Canis lupus familiaris: one gene and its partners. The protein of the gene in region 1 interacts with the protein of each later gene in a pairwise test. Links are inferred from orthologs where the notes say so. Each region holds a gene or a part of one and is shown in the gene's direction. Other genes may lie near its edges.

Region 1 (3,557 bases):
GTCAAAAAACTGACTCTCTGGACCTTTGTGTCTCTCTTTCAGGTCTAATTTCAAGCTTGTGGCCGTTAATTCAAAACTCTATGCCATTGGTGGGCAGGCCGTTTCTAATGTTGAGTGTTACAATCCTGAGCAGGATGCCTGGAATTTTGTGGCACCCTTACCAAATCCTCTGGCTGAGTTCTCTGCGTGTGAGTGTAAGGGAAAAATTTATGTCATTGGAGGATATACTACCAGAGGTAAGTATGTGGTCCTCTTCTATGAGCTTCGGCAGCCTGGAGAAGGGCAGGAGGGTGCCAAAAGAAACACTTTGGTGTAATTTAATACATTATATACTGGACATTTACATATCTGGAAGAAGAGAGTTGTATACTACAGGGGTGTTTTGGAAGGGAGGGGACCTTTGATGCCTTTGTGTGATCATGAAAATTGAATGGGGTAGAGGATGCTATGAAGAGAATATATGTTTTCTTTCTGTTCTGGCCAGCTGTCTTGTGACTTGACTGGGCAACTCCCAACCTTCTCCCAAACACATTTAACACTATGTAATTTAGGGCTAGAACATTCTGCAGATCTTTGTTTTCACTTTCTTCCTTCTTGAATACAAATATATCAGACATAATTTACAGAAACTCAGTGCTAGGCTGTTGTTCACATATCCTAAGAGGATTATAAAAGACATGAATATAAGACCATTCTTTCCTGACCTCCTCCCAGAGGTGGGAGGTGGTTGTACTGTTTATTAAACTGTACTTTTTTTTTTGGTGGCTATTTGGTAGTTGATAATTTGGGAATAAGTTTCTCCAGTAGGTTTTATAGTGATGTTCTTGGTAGGAAGCATCTCACATGATAGTGATAAAAAAAAAAAAAAAAAAAGCTTGACTGTGTTAAGAGAGGCAGTGGTGGGCCACCAGGAAGAGGTGTGCCTTTCCCTTTATCTCCCTCCAATTGTGTCCAAGTTACCTCTTGGCCAAGGAAATTTATTTCTTCATTTGGTTTATCTGATTGTAAAATGCCCAGAACTTACAGAAAAGGTATAACTAGACTCATGGGACTTTTAGCCCCATTGTAGTAGTAGAGTTACCATTATATCTGACATAGTGAAATAACCTGTCTCTCCTTTATGCTATAATATGGGAGGACAGAGTTCTCCAGCCCTGCTGACAGGTATGGAGAGAGGTTACTGATACATCACTTTGTAAAGGACAAAAATCCACATGCTAATATAGGTGCCAAAAATTCTTCTTACTGTAGCCAAATGTGTCTTGTTTGGGGGATTTATATTAGAGGAAGAAGTTCTGTCAATAGATGTTTTATGAGCATCTGATTTACTGTGTGTGTGTGTGTGTGTGTGCGCGCGCGCACGGACATGTGCAAAAGATTCTGAGTAACACTTCTTAAAGTATCTCTAAACAGTTGGCTGTGGAAGGGAGGATGGTGAGTGGTGTTTTAGTTTCCTATGGCTGACTTAACCAACAACTACAACTTGGTGGCCTAAGACAATTTCTAGAAGCCAGAAATCTGAAGTCAAGGTGTGGGAAGTCACATCCCTTTTGAAGGCGCTAGGGGAGAGTCCTTCCCTGCCTCTTCCATCTTTGGTGATTCCAGGTGTTCCTTGGCTGGTGGCTGCATCCCTGCAGGCTCTACCTCCATCTTCACACACCTTCTCCTCTGAGCATATCTACGTCTTTTCCTCTTCTGTCTTTTATAAAGACACATTCCTCATTGGATTTTATAGCCCCCCTGGGTTATCTAGGATGATCTCATCGTGAAATCCTAAACTTCATTGAAAGGTACAAAGTCCCTTTTTCCAAGTAAGGTCACATTCAAAGGTTTTGGGGTTAGGGAGTAAACATATCTTTTTGGGGGCCTGTTGAACTCACTACAGGTGCTGTGTTTATGCATTTAAGGAGGGGCAGTGACCATGGGAAACAGGGAGTTGTTTTTTTTTTTTTTTATAATGCCCTCAGATTTTCATCACTGTGGAGCTATTCTCAATGTCCCTCCCTAGTGACATTCTACTGAAGATAAGATAATTGCCAGCTTTTTTTGGTTATAGATAATTGGGTGAAAAAATAAATAAAGAGACAGAGAGAGACCTAAGAGTCATTTCTTTTACCTTCAATATTGGTGTTCAGGTACAGCGGTCAACTTCATATGCTTAACGAAACCATAGCCCCCAGAGAATTCCTGTGAGTGCATATGTACCTCTGTGTGTGTCTGTGTGCCTTTTTCTCCTAGGAAAGTAAATACAGTTATTTACTTTTGAACATTTCTAAGAATTCTGATTGCTCCCTAGATTTTGTCACACAGAAAGCACCCTTTGGGCTGACATAATGCACACATAACCCTTGGCTTCTCTTGTGACCAGGAGCTGGGAAACACTGACAGGCAGTACTGTAGCCCAAAGAGTACCCTGCTGGTAGATTTCCTAGTTCTTCCATGGCCTGGCTGAGCAAATGTTCTTTAGATCTGACCTGGAAAACCCTTGCTTGTGTGTTTTCTAGTTTCTCAAGCCACTACTAATATACCTTCTTCACTTGGGCCACCCACGGTGATTCCTGTCTCGGGTTCCCCAAGCCAAATACCTGTGATGGGATGGTTGGGTGATGTGGATGGATGGATGTTTGTGTAAAGGTTGAAAATGGGTTTTCTGAGATGAGAGGGCAGGACAGTTCCTTGTACTCTGAAATTCCCCTCCTCTTCTGTTTGGGATCTTCTCAGCACTTCCTAATAGTTACCTGTATTTAGAATAAGAAATCAGAATTGTTTTGTTTTATGAACAAATGCAGGGCTCAAAGTTGGGTTATTAGCCTGCTAACTTCTTAAGTTAGGTAGACTTTAAAATTTAGTAAGTAATTCACAATTTTTATGATAGCTGTTTGATTATATTAATTCTGTAGCAGGCACTGAGGAAATGAAAAATTCAATAGAAAGCAATAGTAACCACTCCAGGGAAGAAGGGTGATTTGTTAAAGTTCAGAATCACCTCCAAATGTAAAAGCAAAAAGAGTATTCCACCAACTCAAACCACCTCATCATGGTCTGAGCCCTTGTTGGGTGAGGAGAAAAAACATTTACAGAAGACCTGGGAAGACCTTCAGACCAGGGACTGAGAAATCCATGGAAGCCTCACTAGAATAAGTCCTTTATTCATGTGGAGGGAAAGCCAGGTTACTAAGGAGCACTTTTTGATAGATTGGAACCAAACTCCCTTGGACTGTCTCCAGAATGAGTTTTATCACAGTAGCTACAATAAAAAGAAAGGTAGGGAGGTATTAATGTGGGTGGAAAAAAAGGACAGTTTCCTAAAGCTGTAGCAGTTCTGAAATTTCTACAGGCATGGGGACATGTGGTAAACGAAAGGTTCAGTCTCCTTCTAGTTCTTTTTTTTTTTTAAGATTTATTTATTTATTCATTCATTTATTCATTCATTCATGAGAGACAGAGAGAAGCAGAGACATAGAAGGAGAAGCAGGCTCCCTGCAGGGAGCCCGATGTGGGACTTGATCCCAGGACCCTGGGATCACTGAGCTGAGCCCAAGGCTGATGCTCAACCA
Region 2 (4,231 bases), on another chromosome or scaffold:
TTTTCTAGAGCTTACTTTGGCCAGGAACTCTATTCACAACAGTTCTTCCCACAATTCAAAAAGAGTTAGCAAATGAGCTACTTGGAGAAGTTAAGTCCCCTTGTCAGTTTACCAGACAAGCGTTAACTTCCTGTCTACCCATACCCGACCCCAGGTGTCCTGCCTTGAATTAAGCACCTGTGCTATAACCACAACAGCTATTACTACCAACAAAAGGACATGTTGTGCACCATTCTGAGCACTTTGTGGGATTATTTTTTTCTTTTTTTATTTATTTGAGAGAGAGCATGAGCAAGGGGGAGGGGTAGAGGGAGATGGAGAAGCAGACTCCCTGCTGAGTAGGGAGCCAGATGTGGGACTTGATCCCAGAACCCTAGGATCATGACCTGAGCCACCCACACGCCCCTCTTTTTTTCTTTTAGATCTTATTTTTATGAAATGTCTACACCTGGGACGCCTGGGTGGGTCAGCGGTTGAGCATCTATCTGCCTTTGCCTCAGGTCATGATCCTGGGATCTAGAATTGAATCTTGTTTGGGCTCCCACCAGGGAGCCTGCCTCTCCCTCTGCCTGTGTCTCTCATGAGTAAATAAATAAAATCTTAAAAAAAAAAAAAAAAAAAAGAATCTCTGCCCCCAGCGCGGGGGCCTTGAACTCATAACTTAGAGGTCAAGAGTCACATGCTCTCGACTGAGCCTGCCTCGGGCCCCTGTGTGATTATTCTTTTTAATCCTCAAAATACTCTCATTTTAAAAAGGTGAGGAAACTGAGACCTTTGGGATTAAAATTACTTGCCCAAGGTCACACAGCTACTTAGGGAATGGAGCCCAGGATGTGACTCCAGTGGCTCTATTCCTATCCCCACCGGCTCCCCCTCCCCCTCCTGTAACCACTATTGAGTCCAACTGCTCAGCATTTGCTTAGTGCGCTATGGTGCTCTTAAAGACACAACCTTATTTTAATTTTCCCGACTCTCAAGAGGTAGGCAAGAAGCTGTCCATTTAACAGACTTTGTGTGTGGCTCAGAGAGGTCCAAGGATTTTTTTTTCCCTAGATCGCACGTTGAGTAAGTGGTCAGAATTTGAACCCATGCTTATCTGGCTTAGAGTGCAGACCTCTGTTAGGACTGGGTCTGTAAGTTGCTCAATTGCTGGGTTTGGCAAATGTACGGGCAGGTGTGAGGGGCTCACACCTTGAGAAGGAAGAAACCCCTCCCAGCCACTGCCCCGCAGTGAACACAGCCACCCCACCTGGCCTCGGCTCCTTACACAGTCGCCAGGCATGCGCCCTGAAGCCACCCTCCCCTCCCTTCGAACCTTCCTTCTCCAGGCCCCGCCCATCACCGCCCAAGGCCAATCGCGGGCCGAGGGCGGGGCCACCGCGGGAGTGGGCGGTAGTTAAGGGGAGTCAGGAGCCTGGAGTCGTGCGCCGGAGTCAGAACTGCGTCTACCGACCCAGGCGCCGGCTGCTGAAGGAGAGCGAGCGAGCGATGCTGCCGTCGCCGCTCCCTGATTGGCTGCGCGTGGATCCCTCTTCGTTCTGATTGGCAGCGGGTGAGCTAGGTATGTAAATGAAGTGAAGGGGGCCGAGGCGAGAAGGGAAACCCGCGAGGGGGTCGTTTGGCAGGTTCGATCCCCGGGTCCGGCCGGTGCGCGCCGGGGCTGCCCGGGATCGAGATGCGCGGGCCCCCGAGTGTCGCCCGGCCGGGCTGGGTGAATCACGCCGCAGCCCGGGAAGGGGGCGGAGGCGCCGGCTCTCTGGCTCCGGCTGCGTGACTCACCCGCCCCCGCCGCCGCCGCCGCTTCGGGAGGAGCCGCCTCCACTGCCTGCCGGAAGCGAGCACAGGCCGAGAGAGCAGAACAGCCCTCGGGGTTCCCGGCCCGCACGGCCCTGCGCTGCGGGCAGGAACGACAGCCAGGACGTGGGGCCGTATCGAGGATCCCGGGGTCCGAGGGGCCGGAATCCCCGGGGAAAGCCGTTCTGGCGCCGCTAGGGGGCGCCGGGACGGGGGGGCGGAGTCCGGGGAGGGGGGCGCCTGAATTCCTGCGGTTCTGGACTCCCGGGTCTTCGGGGAAGGAGGCGAGGACCGTTTTGAGAAGTGTGAGGAGTCGCTTTTAAGGTCCTGTTGGGCAAGGGGATTGGAGCCTTCAAGCTTCCAGGCTCAAGAAAGTAAGTTGGGCCTGGCGTCCAGAACGCCAGGGGCCCCTATCTCGGGGAGAGTGTGGGTCCTCAAAGTTCTCTTGGTGACCCCCCGGTGCCGGTCAGGATTTCCCAGCGAGCCATGTCTACTCTGCCTCCCAAAGAAATCCGGAAGCAACCAACTTCTTTCCATGTCCACTGCCCTCCACCTTCCACTTCAGGCCCCCACCATCACCCGCCCCAGAGCGCGGTGGCCTCTGAATGGAGCTCAGGACCGCGCTCTTCCCCGTTTCCCTTCCTTTCACCCTCATCTAACTCGAAGCAGCCGAGGGGGGATCTTCTGGAAATCTAATCAGTTCACAACACCACCCGTGTTCCCTGCTCAAAATCCTTCAATGACACTCACAGTAAAATCCAAACTCCTTGCCTCTGCTTGCTCTCCAAACCCGGTCCCCTTCCGTGTCACTCTGCGCTGACCACACTGGTGTTTTATTTTGTTTTGTTTTGTTTTGTTTTTTTTCAGTTCATGCTCATCCAGCCTCCAGGTCTTTCTTTGCCCTTGTTGTTCTCTCTTCCCGGAATGCTTTCCCCTGGTCCTTCTGTGGGTGGCTCCTCCTGCTTGAGGAAGGGTCAGCTAAAATGTCACCTCGGAGGAGCCTTCCGTGACCACTCCCCAGAACCTTTGAATATCTTCCTAGCACACCTCTACATTTCCTGTATTTATTTATTTATTTGTCTGATGGGTAGTAGACAGTAAGTGTCGGATGGAACTATGTAAAACAGCTGCTTTCATGAGTTAAAAAGATTGAATTTTGGGCATTTCACATGGTTCACTGAAGAAATACATAATAATAGCTATTAAGAGTATTTGTTAATAAGAATCGTTACAATGTACTAGGCACTGTTGTAAGTGCTTTTTTGTACGTTACCACATTTACTCTATATAACAGCTCCATGAGGTAGATACTATGATCACTCATATCTTCAGGTTTCCCTAAGAAAGCACAGGTTCAAGAAATTAAATGGCCTGCTCAAGATCACACCAGACATAAGTTATCAGAGACAGGGTTTTTAACTTAACATTGACTTTCCATAACTGAATGACTCCTCCCTCCCTGCAGATGATGCTGAGCAAAGGTCTGAAGCGCAAGCGGGAGGAGGAGCGGGAGAAGGAAGCCCTGGCAGTGGACTCCTGGTGGCTGGATCCCAGCCTCCCAGCAGTGGCACAGGCCCCCCCGGCCGTGGCCTCCAGTTCCCTCTTGGACCTTTCTGTGCTCAAGCTCCACCACAGCCTGCGGCAGAGTGAGCCGGACCTGCGGCACCTGGTACTGGTAGTGAACACGCTGCGGCGCATCCAGGCATCCATGGCACCTGAACCTACCCTGCCACCTGTGCCCAGCCCGCCTGCGGCCCCTTGTGTGGCTGACAATCTGCTGGCCAGCTCAGACGCTGCCCTCTCAGCCTCCATGGCCAGCCTTCTGGAGGACCTCAGCCATATCGAGGGCCTGAGCCAGGCCCCCCAGCCCTTGGTGGACGAGGGGCCACCGGGCCGCCCCACTGGAGGATCCCCACCCAACCTGGGTGCCTTGGACCTGCTGGGCCCAGCCACTGGCTGTCTGCTGGACGATGAGCTTGAGGGTCTGTTTGAGGACATCGACACCTCTATGTATGACAGTGAACTTTGGGCACCAGCCTCCGAGGGCCTCAAACCTGGCCCTGAGGATGGGCCTGGCAAGGAGGAGGCTCTGGAACTGGATGAGGCTGAGCTGGACTACCTCCTGGACGTGTTGGTGGGCACACAGGCACTGGAGCGGCCACCGGGTCCAGGGCGCTGATCCCCACAACTGGGATGGTGGTCTGGTGTCCAAACTGAGCCTGGTGGCTGGACCAACTCTCCTTGGAAAGACACAGCTGGCTTCCTTAGAGCAGAGAGAGGGCCTTTGGAGAGACAGAATCCAGTCCTGAGCAACTTCACCTCTGTCCTCTTGTCTAGGACTAATGAGGGGAGTCTGGGATTGGCCCTTGGGATGGGATCACAGGGCCTGGTGGCTGGAATGTGATTTGGACCGGGCCCTGTACTGGACTGAATCCCC
Region 3 (4,211 bases), on another chromosome or scaffold:
TCCCACTCCCAAGACATTCTGATTTAACTGCTTAGGGATGTGACCTGGATGTCGGGATTTTTAAAAGTTCTCCAGATGAGTTCCTCTCATCAAAACGAAGAGTTGGGAGAACCACTTAGGAAATACTTAGTGAATGAAATGAATGTAGCTCTCACTTAGGTTTTTTGAACAAACTCCTGGCCCCTTCTCAGAACTCCTAACCAGAGTCTCTGGTGTTAAGGGAGCCCTAACGGGTTTATTAAAGCAGCTCCACTAGCGAACGGTAACGCTTAGAGAAAGCAGCAAAATCTCCACTTTAAGAATGAAGGAGAACCAATGCGACATAATGTCTGCCTTTGTTTATGGTCGTCAAATATTATTGTGCACCGAACCGAAATCCCCTCAGGGACTTATTAAGTCACGGAATGCTGGGCCCCTCCCCCAGAGTTTCTGATTCAGCGGCTCTGTGGAGTTTTTCACCCAACACGGTGCACTCAAGTTCCCAGGTGATGGGACGCTGGTCCTCCGCAGGAACCACACCTGAGGAACAAACGCATTGGGGTTTCTGCTCGAAAGGGGAGCCTTGGGTAGTAAGCACGTCGCGGTCAGGGCTTAACAGTGGAGGGAAGCCCCAAACGCCGGACTCGTGCTTCTGTGTGGGGATTAAACCGATCTGCAAGCATAGCCCCCACGTTTCCAGGGTTACCCCTCGCACCTACACCGTACACGCTTCACAGAACGAAGGTACCGATGCAGTGTACGTTCCAGGAGCAAACACGTGTGTGAAGGGGCAGAGGCCAAGGCGCACGGCTGGAGGGTCTCACCCAGCAGGGAGGTCGGTAGAAGCACGCTCGCCGCAGGGCCTTAGCTTCTACTTGGAGCGTTACCACTAACTCCTGGTAAGCGCCGGCAAGTACTCGCTACAGCCCGTTTCCTCTCAGGTAGCGGCTAACGTCAGGCGTCCCGTCCGACAGGACGCGGAGGCGCGACCGCCGTCCCTCCGGGAGGCAGCGCCGGCCCCTACCTGGCAATACAGCCGATAAAGGGGTACAGCGGCGTAGGACGCTCCCAGCATGCCCACGGCGGCCGCGGCCACGTACGTGAGCACCGTCTTGTTCCGACGCCGCCAGTCCTCCTCCTGCGCGCGAGTGAAAGGGTTCGTGCTCTTCGGCCGCCGCGGCGGGGGCTGCAGCGCCAGCTCCGGGGCCGGGCTCGGGCGCCTCCAGGTCCCGAGGCGCCTCAGCGCCGTCTCAGCACCTCCTGCCCCACTCGTTCCCGGCCTGAGACGGGGCACTACCCTCTCCGCGGCCCTGGCCGCGAAGCCACGGTGGCTCCAGCGCCAGCCACAGAAGGCAACGGGTCTCCACGGGGGACGCCAGAGCCCTCCCATAGCGCCCGGGGGTGGGGGGGAGAGAGCTCCCGGAGTCGGGGACGAGACGGCAGATCTCGCGAGGCCTGCGCGGTCTCGCGACATCTGGGGTGAGCTTGCGGCTGCCGTGGCTACAGGGCTCCTCAGGTGGCGGCGCCTGCGGTCGCGCTACGGAGGCCCGGTTGCCGGATTACGGGTAAGTTCGCGTTTTGCTTCATGACTTTCCTCCCGCTTTGCTTCCCTCCGGCGCCTTATACTAGCTTACTCTGAGGGAAACGCCATGCGCTCCGCGGGGGTGCAAACGCCTCATCGTTTGGGCTCGTATCTCTGAACTTCCTAAACTCCACCATCCTTTGTTTCGACCTAGCGGCCCTCAGCCGCCGGCCCGCTGCTTACTGCCCTGGACTTGAGCTCAGGGACCACCTCTTCCAGGAAGCCTGCCTGGTGTTCACCACAGCGCACAACAGCACTCACACACGTGTGCGTTCCCTCAGCCCCTGGGAATCGGCTTCCGCTTCTCTTCGGATGCCCTCTAACCACTTGTCCGGTGAAAACGACCAGTCCTGGAGCAGAGAGACGTTGTCAAACGAGTTTGTCCAGAGGAGAGTGACCAAGACAGGAACATACTTTAAGGCAGGATTGAAAGAAATGGGGGATGTTCATCGTGGAAGAGAACCCTGTCGGGGATGTACTACCTCTTCTTCGCTTGAGCCAGAGGACACACTAGGACCTGAGGGGAGAGGCAGCACGGCCTACTTTGCTGTAATGGAAGGAAAAAGCTTTCTAGGAACTATAAAGGAGCTGATGAAAGCCCCCATTCTGAGGTTTGGCAGCTCGGGGGTGATGCCTGCATCCCACTATGGCCTTCTGTCCTTAGGCCAGTTATTCCATCTCTCTCAGTCCTGGTGGCCTTGTTAATAAAACGGAAATCATAAGAGTAAACGAGAATATGCATATCAAGTGATTTTCATTGTGCCCGAGACCTAGGAAAGCTAGTAAACGTGAGGCTGCCTTTCTTGTGTGGGGGTGTTATGGTTTTTTTTTTTTTTTAGATTTATTTTATTCATGAGAGACACAGACAGAAAGAGCAGCAGAGACACAAGCAGGCTCCCCGTGGGGAGCCCGAGGCAGGACTCGATCCCAGGACTCTGCGGTCACCACCTGAGCCAAAGGCAGACAGACGGTCAACCACTGAGCCACCCAGGCGTCCCATCACACTCTCTTTCTAATGACTGGTGCAGGTATAATTATTCCCACTTTATGGATGACACATATAAATAACATTTAATCTAAAAAAATTTTATTTATTGCACTTTTCCACAAGCCAGACCTTGTTCAAACTTACTGAGGCTACCGCACAGAGAAAAGCAAACACAATCCCTTCTCTAAGGAAGTGTACTTTTTACTGAGGGATTCTGGAGATAATCAAGTAACAGATATATAAATGAGGGAATTTCAGATAACAGTACAGTGAGACAATAGAAGAGTGTGATTGGGAATAATAATGAGAAGGGTTAGTGAAGTCTTTCTGAAGGTGTGACATTTGAGCCTAGTCCTGAATGATGATAAGGAACCTACCTATACGGTGACAATTCCAAACCATACAGAGTCCCAGAGGCAAGTAAGATCTAGATAGCATTGAAGAATAAAAACAAGGCCACTGTGTTCCTGGCATAGAGAATAGGGAGGAAAGTAGTAGGAAATAAGGTCAAAACAGGTAGGTTAGGGGCCAGATAATACAGACCATTTTAAGCCATATCTAAAGGTTTGGATTTTATTCTGAAAGTAATAGGAAACTACTACAGAGTTTAGGTTGAAGTATACAGGTGATATGGTCTGATCCCACATTTTTTTTTAAAAGATTTTATTCATTTATTCATGAGAGACACAAAGAGAGGCAGAGGGAGAATCAGGCTCCCTGCAGGAAGCCCGATGTAGGACTCGATCCCAGGACCCTGGGATCACACCCTGAGCTAAAGGTAGACGCTCATCCGCTGAGCCACCCAGGCATCCCTGATTCACTTTTTGTTTTAAAGGGTTTTGTTTATTTATTTGACAGAGGGCCAGAGAATACAAGCAGGGAGAGGAAGAAGCAGGCTTCCCGCTAAGCAGGGAGCCCAACGTGGGTCTCCGTCCCAGGACCCTGGGATCATGACCTGAGCCAAAGGCAGACACTCAAGCACTAAGCCACCCAGGCCCTAATTCACATTTTTTTAAAAGCTTTTATTTATTCATTAGAGACACAGAGAGAAGCAGAGATACAGGCAGAGGGAGAAGCAGGCTCCCTTGCATGAAGCCCAACATGGGTCTCTGTCCCAAGACCCAGGGATCACGACCTGAGCCAAAGGCAGATGGTCAACAACTGAGCCACCCAGGTGCCTCCTGATTCACATTTTTTAAAAGACCTTGGTTGTGTTGTGTAGAATACATTAAAGGGAAGGGGGCAAAAACGGAAGTAGAGCAGTTAGGAGGCAATTGAGGTGAGTAATGATGGTCATCTTGAGTGAATATGAGTAATTATTAACTTGTTGTCACAGGGCCAGAAAATTGCAAAGCCAAAAATATCTTCTGAATCTTTCCTACTTTGGCACAAAAACTTGAAAATGCTATGATTCTACGAATTTATTTGTATTGTTTTGTGTTTGAAAATCTTTTTCATCTACCTTAGTTCTTATACCAGATTATCAGCTTTTTCAGGATAAGACCTGTCATATATTAAGTTTCTTACAGCATAGACTCAAACCTCATGCAAACATAAATGTCACTGAAACCAACAATACATTCCCTTAGCCATTTTTTTCCTCCAGGCCCCCAATACGTAGCAACAGATAGCCATATAAATACATCAGTAATAGTGTCTTTG

Evidence for each region.
Region 2: the proteins of KLHL42 (region 1) and SERTAD1 interact in binary tests that used the Homo sapiens proteins (3 or more experiments, as listed by UniProt). The two-hybrid records come from large-scale screens. The link is inferred for Canis lupus familiaris from reciprocal best matches to the Homo sapiens genes KLHL42 and SERTAD1.
Region 3: the proteins of KLHL42 (region 1) and STXBP4 interact in a two-hybrid assay, tested with the Homo sapiens proteins (2 studies listed by BioGRID and IntAct). The two-hybrid records come from large-scale screens. The link is inferred for Canis lupus familiaris from reciprocal best matches to the Homo sapiens genes KLHL42 and STXBP4.

The regions. Positions count from the first base shown.
Region 1 is NC_049248.1:26,604,839-26,608,395, forward strand, and holds part of KLHL42 (kelch-like protein 42), read left to right. Parts: intron 1-42; coding exon 43-236; intron 237-3,557. UniProt on the Homo sapiens protein: Substrate-specific adapter of a BCR (BTB-CUL3-RBX1) E3 ubiquitin-protein ligase complex required for mitotic progression and cytokinesis. The BCR(KLHL42) E3 ubiquitin ligase complex mediates the ubiquitination and subsequent degradation of KATNA1.
Region 2 is NC_049222.1:114,052,899-114,057,129, forward strand, and holds the start of SERTAD1 (SERTA domain-containing protein 1), read left to right. Parts: upstream 1-1,401; 5' UTR 1,402-1,561; intron 1,562-2,013; exon of another isoform or gene 2,014-2,168; intron 2,169-3,259; coding exon 3,260-3,973; 3' UTR 3,974-4,231. UniProt on the Homo sapiens protein: Acts at E2F-responsive promoters as coregulator to integrate signals provided by PHD- and/or bromodomain-containing transcription factors. Stimulates E2F1/TFDP1 transcriptional activity.
Region 3 is NC_049230.1:30,036,628-30,040,838, forward strand, and holds the start of STXBP4 (syntaxin-binding protein 4), read left to right. Parts: upstream 1-1,410; 5' UTR 1,411-1,544; intron 1,545-2,444; exon of another isoform or gene 2,445-2,589; intron 2,590-4,211. Other genes in the region: COX11 (cytochrome c oxidase assembly protein COX11, mitochondrial), read right to left, coding at 1,004-1,369. UniProt on the Homo sapiens protein: Plays a role in the translocation of transport vesicles from the cytoplasm to the plasma membrane. Inhibits the translocation of SLC2A4 from intracellular vesicles to the plasma membrane by STX4A binding and preventing the interaction between STX4A and VAMP2.